2 linked regions of the Rattus norvegicus genome follow. Each later gene encodes a partner of the first gene's protein in a complex. Links are inferred from orthologs where the notes say so. Each region holds a gene or a part of one and is shown on either strand. Other genes may lie near its edges.

What was found.
Region 2: the proteins of Oprk1 (region 1) and Pdyn are in contact, whole or in part, in a cryo-EM structure (PDB 8F7W), measured with the Homo sapiens proteins. The link is inferred for Rattus norvegicus from reciprocal best matches to the Homo sapiens genes OPRK1 and PDYN. Residues at the interface, in NP_000903.2 of Homo sapiens: Thr111, Gln115, Trp124, Val134, Ile135, Asp138, Tyr139, Met142, Lys200, Glu209, Cys210, Asp216, Tyr219, Lys227, Val230, Phe293, Ile294, Glu297, His304, Ala308, Leu309, Tyr312, Tyr313, Ile316, Tyr320; in NP_001177821.1 of Homo sapiens: Tyr207, Gly208, Gly209, Phe210, Leu211, Arg212, Arg213, Ile214.

Annotation. Positions count from the first base shown.
Region 1 is NC_086023.1:18,658,417-18,662,232, forward strand, and holds part of Oprk1 (kappa-type opioid receptor), read right to left. Parts: intron 3,321-3,816; coding exon 2,788-3,320; coding exon of another isoform or gene 2,701-2,787; 3' UTR 1-2,700. UniProt on the Homo sapiens protein: G-protein coupled opioid receptor that functions as a receptor for endogenous alpha-neoendorphins and dynorphins, but has low affinity for beta-endorphins.
Region 2 is NC_086021.1:137,363,449-137,367,736, forward strand, and holds the start of Pdyn (proenkephalin-B preproprotein), read right to left. Parts: upstream 3,056-4,288; 5' UTR 2,896-3,055; intron 1,683-2,895; 5' UTR 1,622-1,682; intron 1-1,621.

The sequences.
Region 1 (3,816 bases):
TGAGGAATCGTTTGAGGATGTGGAGTTAGACAAATGCACTGTTTGCATTAAGCAAGCACAGTAGTATGACCACTGCCATCTATTATCATGCACATGTGCACATATGTATGAATCTGCTCTCTTTCATGTATACATGTACATGTATATAGTTCAACAGTAGAACACTTATATGTAATTGATACTTCCCTTCCAGTGTCTAAGTCTGTTTATTATTCTTTAAATTAGTATCCTAAAGTGGCTGTCATCTATTCTTCACTTTCAACCTGAGGGTCATGGGGAAGCTCAGAATAGATCTCAATGGCAGTAAAGCTATTCTTGTCCCTTCCATGGGATTCAAACTTATGTATTGGAAAGTGCAGGAAACAGAGATATTAGGAGAGCACATGGAATGATAAAGAACTCACCATTCTAAGTCCATCCTGAGGTGATGTGATAACCACATTGTGTTTTGCTTTGTTTTTCTGGGGAAGAATCTATAAGCATCTTCTGCATCTTACTATACTGTAGAGGCTTTTCAGAAGGATTTGTTCAGGAACTGCTTTGTCCAAATATATATATCTTAACTATATTAGCCAAAGTTTTAAACTATTGGGTTAATATTTCCCAATATTTAAGTCATTCTTATCTATATATCTAGTTTTAAGAATGCAAGGATGGTGACTCTCTCTTATAAGAAAGCTGTACTCTGGGCTGGTAAGATAGCTCAGTGAAGGTACATGCTACTCGACAATGCAGGACAGCTGATGTGCGTACCATCCCCAGAACATATGTGAAAGAAAGAGAAGAGAAGTGACTGTGCAAAGCTGTCCTCTGACCTCTATATGCATGCCATAATGCATGCCCTCACATGAATAATAATAATAATAATAATAATAATAATAATAATAATAATATCAACAGCAAGTTTTAAAAGAACTTTGTGTCCACTCTAGGGCATGTCCCTCTTTTATATGTCTTTTGTCCTCTGTCAGACTTCATGCTTAAATCTACATTAATACCTGTCTCTTAATAAGTTCTAGCTATGTGTCATTACAAAAGAATTCCAGAGCATCAAGGTATTCAGTGAAATGTAAGAAATACTCAAAAGAGCATTTAATCTTCACTATGAAATATCTCTGCAATGTCATTGTCATTGAATTCAGCTGCATAAATGTCTCATATGGAGTTAAACATAATGGCAGTGACTCTGGAGAGTGTGTCATACCTTTATACAGGCCTCCATCTCCAGAAAGTGAGGGAACAACCCCCGTGAGACAGCTGGTGGTGAGAACTTACAGATGGAACTGTGCCTACAGTATCCAGGTTTACACATCAGATCATCTATTAGCCCCCAAGGGGTGCTGCCCTAACCATGTGCAAGCTGAAGAAATAGATGTTATTTTTAAATTATGCCTTTCTTCTTTCAAGGAAAATTGTCAAAAACAAAACAAAACAAAAAAACCCTCTTATTATCTCTGAACTATAAGTTTTGAAGGAAAGAATGGAGAATTTATATTCATTTGGAAGATTTAGCAAAAGTATCCTAAATGGGCTTCTCAGATAGTAACTTCCACAGGTACCCTCTTACTCAATACCATGCAAATTGTGCTAAGCCATCTCAAATCCTATTTCCTTTTTCAGCATGCATTTTGAAACAATTCCACTTTCTGTGGAAAGCCAGAGCATAACATTTGAAGGTGTACATGATCAAAGCAACTTCCTCTACCTGAGTAGAGAATCTGGCAATATGTGTGTGTTTACAAACAGATGCTACCACAAAGTAGATTTGATCAATGCTAACACTTTAGAATGAATTCAAAGTTTGGGGAATTGTTAACACCAAGTTATGATCAGTGTTAGAGTAAATGATGTTTGAGTAATCTAGTAGAAATCACACCAAGACCAAATCAAGAAAGTAGCTTATAGTGAAGCAAAATATCCCAGCATGAACTTTCCATGCCTCCAGGGGTGTGTCTACGGCATCCTTGAGAAATGTACAGGCTGGACAGGAAAACCTGGTCCTTATTTATATACAGACCACTATTTACAGATGAAATTACACACACTTTGCTGGTATTTAAGCTTCAACCTTTTAATATCAGTTCATGTTTTCTCAGAAGATTATCTTCCTGAATAGCATGCTAAAAACCAGAGACCTTAAGAAGCAACTGTAGTTTTTCGAGGCATTAGACACTGTGAGACGAGAACACCCACAACTTTAAATAGGTTCACAAATGTCAATATGGTGCTCTCCCCCAGTGTCAGGGTCTGAGTCCAGGTTCTTCCTAAGTTTCACTCTCATCACACATAAGACATGATCACCAGCAGAAAGTGAGTTGGATATGACCCTTGGTATGGCCTCATTGTATACGAAGTTGGTTTTGCCTGTGTTAACGCGAAGGTTGGGTGCCCAGTAAGTTTTGGATCAAATGCACTTTTTCTTTCATTTTCTTCTCTAGAGCTTTGGAACTATGTTACACAGAAAGGCCACGCAGATGGAGGTGCAGTAAATCAAGGGGCCAGAAGAAAGAGTGCTGTCTGTTTATCGAAGGGTTGAGATTAGATTGCCTTCTCCTCTGTCCTAGGAAAGAGGTGTATTGTTGCCAGGACATGTGCTCTGTTCTTCACACTTGCTGCCCCTACTCAGCTAGATCACTAATGTGCCCTGCACCTTTAGATTGCATAACATGGCTAAGTTATTGAATACCTCATCTTTCCTCTTCAGACTGCAGTGGTAATCTGGGTTAAACCAAGATCATTGAACTCTTCTCTACCCGGAGAACAATAGGAAGACATTTCCATGACTAGTCATACTGGCTTATTCATCCCACCCACATCCCTCATGGAAGCAGGATCCTGAACTGTGTTTCTAACTCTGTTTGTGCTCTGGCGCTCCATTCGCATCTTAATGGGGAAGCAGAAGTCCCTAAAACACCGCTTGAAGTTTTCATCAAGAAAGGCATAGAGAACAGGATTCAAGCTGCTGTTGGTATAACCCAAGGCAATGCAGAAGTAATAGCTAGAGAGGACAGCTGTGCTGTGGGAGGTGCTGCCTAGAGCCTCGACCAGGATAAAGATGTGGATGGGGGTCCAACAGATGATGAAGACTGCAACCACTACCAGCACCAGCTTGGTGATCCGGCGGAGATTTCGGTCCTTCTCTCGAGAGCCCGAGAGGAGCCGGACACTCTTCAAGCGCAGGATCATCAGGGTGTAGCAGACAATGATGATTAAGACAGGGATAACAAAGGCAAAGACGAAGACACAGATCTTCATGAAGAGGTCCCACCAGGAATATTCATCATCAGGAAACTGCAAGGAGCATTCAATGACATCCACATCTGCCAGAGGTGACCAGAGACAACAAAATGACAGAGAATTCTGTTACTGTCTGTCCTGTGACTGCAGTGTTATACATTAACCACTCCCTTTGTTTTCACAGGTCCAGATATAGTGAGATAGTACTGGAAGGAGAACAGCAAATCAGAAATTGATGGTCCACTATATTGAGTAGTCAATAAAAAAAAAGTTTCTTCAGAGCTGTTGTCAAACACAGAGTGTTACGAAGAATAAACAAGCAAAGCTGGCTAACAATATATTCATCCAGCTGTGAAGGTTGTCTTGACATTTGTGGCTTTCAGAGGAGCTAAACTGTTTACTTTTATTGTGGTACATATTTGTATTTTTGTGTCTTAACAATGTTCCCACACCCACAGCTCTGACAAGAGTTAACATTTTTAAAAAAGTCACCATCTATTTCTGATAAATGACTGAACATTTTTAATCTCTCTACTGGATTTAACAAATACCAACTTGTCTTAAAACATCAACTGTTTA
Region 2 (4,288 bases), on another chromosome or scaffold:
GGTCTTACCCAAAGGTCACCTTTGCAGTGCAGAGACAGACAGAAACACAGTCCTGCGGTACCGACCGGCATGGTCAGGGTCTCAGTGAAAGCATTAGCAGTGGTTTTAAAGGAATGTTTCTCAGCTGTCGGGTTTGTTAGGAATCCCCTACCTTACTGCCATTTGGAACATTTATTAGATAAGGAGAAATGCAAAAGGAAAATGAGAGGGTAGGGGGAGAGAGATGAAAAGTCAGAGGGAAGGATCACTGGGGGTGGGGGTGGGGGGCAGAGACAGCAGGAAGTGAAGATGATGGGGAAGTGGATGAACCGGAAAGAGAGGGGAAGGGCAAAAGCCAAGGTCGTCTCCTGCTCCTCCCCCAATCTGCCCCTTGAGCTATATAATACCTGCCCGGTAAACCTTCATCAAGTTAAATAGAATAAGACTGGAGAGAGGCAGCTGAAGCCACTGCAGACACTCTGAGGATGTTCGCAGCTAGTGGCTAAGCAATCAGGCCAGTGGAGAATCGGGGTACGGTGAGGAGCACCCGCCTGAGCATGTCACGTGCTTCATAGATATGACCACTGAGCTCCTGTGGGAGTGCGGAGTGGGATCCAGGCTGAGCTGCAAAGGACTTGAGGGCGCAGCTCAGTTGAGGTTACATCTCCCCAACTGTGGTCAGCTGTGTGTTGGTTCCATTGTTTTACCACCTTGTCAGACCCAGTGAGATCGGCCAATCACTGATCAGCCAAGAGGAGCAAACTGGGGAGAGAGACCATCTGCTGACCACACCTTCTCAGACCCGCACTGAAACCAAAGCAGCCACTTCAGACCCCTCGGAGAATGAGGGAGAGATCTGCTCAATGGAAAAGTTGTGCCAGGATAACTGGAGGTGGGACGGAATGTCGGGGAGGCGGGGAGCAGCAGATAAAGCAATGGCGTCATGTGTGGGAGTGGGGAGAGAAATAGTTGACTTTTGTCAGGTTTCCCTGGGAGAGAGCACAGCAGGATGGATTGGGATGACTGACGAGATCGAGATCGACGTCTTACAAGAGAGGGGGGAGGAGTTCATTCTGAAGCCTGACATTTCGAGTCACCAGAGAGGTGGCCATAACAACATTTACTGAATGCCTACCAAATACCAAATACAGCCTCCCATGGGAGCCTTCGCAGTGACAGAGGGGAAAGAACATTATTATTATCTTCGTTATATTGGTGAGGAGATTAAGACCCTAAAAGGGAAAGGAATTGTTGCAAAGTTATACACACAACAAATAAAGGATGGCTATTGGGTTTAAATTAAGGCTCAGGTGTGGTCACACACACTTAGGTAATACATGGGAAATTCCTGAGGTAATGCTCCGAAAGTCCTGAGAATTATCCTACCCTTCCATGCGTTCTCTCAAACAGCCCAGACCCAACCACTTGAGTAGCCTAAAGGGTCAAAACAGTGGCTCCTACCACACAGTTTCCGTGGAACCGTGGAACCGCTGATACCGCACTCCCAGCTGCCAGCTACTCCTGGAGACAAGGGGAGTCACCTGCCACCCATCACGCTTAGCACGATGAGGACAAAGCAGTGGGCTCAGGATTGTGTCAATAAACACACGCACACACATGCACACTCACACACATCACTCACCCTGCTGGGGCTGCTTCAAGAGCTCCCCCCACGCAGATCTCAAAGCCTGTGGATGAGTGACCTGCAAAAACAGAACAAAAGACAAAGTGGGGTGGGATGGGAGCACCGGTGAGGGGAAGAGGGAGGAGGGTTAGCAGAGCGTAGGCGTAAAGCCCCCATGACAAGGAACAGAAAAGGACTGACATTCTGAAAGGTTTTGCGACAGATCTTGACAACAGTGCCTGCCAGATTAGAAAGACATCAGTGTATATTTCATCAACCCTTGGTGAGAATGAAGGTCTGCTGTCTGTGGGAGGACATTTGAAAAAAGACCCAATAACCTAAAGAGCTTGGAGGCTTTATTAAGGGATACTTGTAAATCTTGAGAGGTTCTCAGAAAAAGAAAAAAAGAAAACACACACCCAGGGAAAAGTAACAAGATGCAGACTTTACTGTTCAGTCATGGAGTTGTGTACAGCTGCCTTCTCTGAAGCTCGACAGCTTTTTACTGATGTCAAACTTTGGGGGTTCCACAAGACTTTCTTTAAACATGGGCGTTGCTATCAGAGAGCCCATGGCTTTCCTCAAGCTTCCTCCAGCCTAACTAGCTGCCTCCAGCAGTAAAGTGGCTGTGATTTACAGGAAAGCAACAAGTCCTTTCAAAGTAAAATTTACAAGGGAAGTCCTCCTCAGACTGGGTATCCAGCTGAGCTCTCCCTGTTCTTCCTAGTTCCCTTTCAACCAAACAACCCCAGACTTCATTCTGAGTGAAATCAAAGGAAGCCACTCAAATCCGCACCTTGTTGGTGATTAAACATGATTCAAAAAGAATGAAAAGGACGGCACTCATTTATGCGTTGATGGTGTCGATCCGGTGCTTGGCAAATGCCAAGTCCTGAACCTCATTAATGTTCCTAGCCCGTGTAATTTAAGTCCGGTGAGAAAGTGAACCTTTAAGAATAAGGCTAATTAGTGAAACCTCTTGGTCTTCCACACAGGATGCCCCCTTCTCCTCAGACCCTGAAAACTAGCATAGGGACTGCTGTGTGGCAGAGCCCACACACCGCTAGCACCTGTGGAAGCCAGGACTGTTCAGGACATGGGTTCCAGAGGACAGGCAGCTCTTTGGACTCGCTGACCAGGCTCTTGTAAACTAGCCTTGAAACTATGATTTCCTGTGCTGAGTTCCAGAACCAAACCTAACTTCCCCCAGCCCAAGCTCCCACAGGTTCCCTCACATAGCATCAGGAGCACATGCATGAAGCCAGAAACGCTGAGCTCCCTGCGGATCTTACCTGCGTGCTGCTTTGTCGCTGGCAGGCTTCTGGCTGATCAGGTGATAGGATGGCCGATCCAAGATTCAGAAGGAGCCCTGACGCTAGCTCAGAGAAGTGCCACAGAGGAAGCCTTGAAGGCTACCAAATCCCCCTATGGCAGTTCTGTGAGCCTTACTCCCTCCCCTTTTATAGAAGAGAGTCTCCCCCCACTGTCGCTCAGCCCGCTCAGCGCTCGCTCACAGAGCACAGGCTGCCAGGAGCCAATGGGGGAGTGGCAGTCAGAGCTCAGACCCCCGGGTCCTTCCACTCAACTCCCTGGGCCTGAGTGAAACACAATAGCTGCTCCAGGTGATGTGATGTGGAGGAGGATGCTCTCGCGCAGTCCGGGGGTGGATTCTCGGTGTAGCGCTGTTTGTCACTTCAAATTCGGCCACTTTGAGCATTTCCAGGAGAGTCTCACAGGAAAACAGAGACAAAAGTAGGAGAAAGGCAGAGATGGGAGGAGACAGAGAGAGAGATAGAGAGACGTAGAGAGTCCAATCGAAAGGCAGAAAGAAAGTTTGGAAACAGAGAATGGAAACAGAGAGGCAATGTCTGAGACACAATGAAGCATAGACAAAGCAGGAGGAAAAGAGAAAGAAAGCACCACAGCCGCAGAGGCTAGCAAAGATCGGCAGATAAAGAACAAGGAGTCGGAGGAGAAATGCTGGCACAAGAAACGAAGGCTGTCTCAGAATATAGGGACCAAAGGATGTCCTGGAGTGTCCAAAGCAGAGTTCTTGGTTATGGAAGAGGAACATTCAGCTCCATGTTGGCAGGGACACACACACACACACACACACACACACACACACACACACACACACTCACACACACACTGGCATGTGTATGAATGTGCATTTGCCTGAGAGTGCCAGTTGACCAGTTGACTTGGGCACCTGTCTGAGTTGATGCCAGGCACTGCTCTCCCTCACAACCAGGGGCAGCCATTCAGTTTTCAGTTGTCTCTGGCAGCAACACAGACTAAATAGCATGAGATGCCCCTCAGAACAGCAGCTCTGATGTGCCCTTGTGTGGCTCTGGGGAGGAGCAGATCTGCCTCTCGTGAACCCTCCACGGAGTTATGAGCGGCCTGGGGGTTCTGGGTGGCTGCACACACCTCCCAGAATACCCGTGTCTCTGAGTTTGGAGGAAAACATGCTCTGTGTCAGCAACAGAGCTGGTCCCCTTGGTTGGGAGAGTGTCAGAGGCTGGCTGGATGGTCCATGTCGTGAACACCTGGGTTGTACCAGGCAGGGAGCAAAGATGTCAACTCTAACTCTGATGTCCTGGCCAGGTGCAGCAGCAGAGGCTGGAGGGTTTAGAAACTGGCCACAGAGCACAGCAAGTCTTCACCCAGACCCAGATGGAT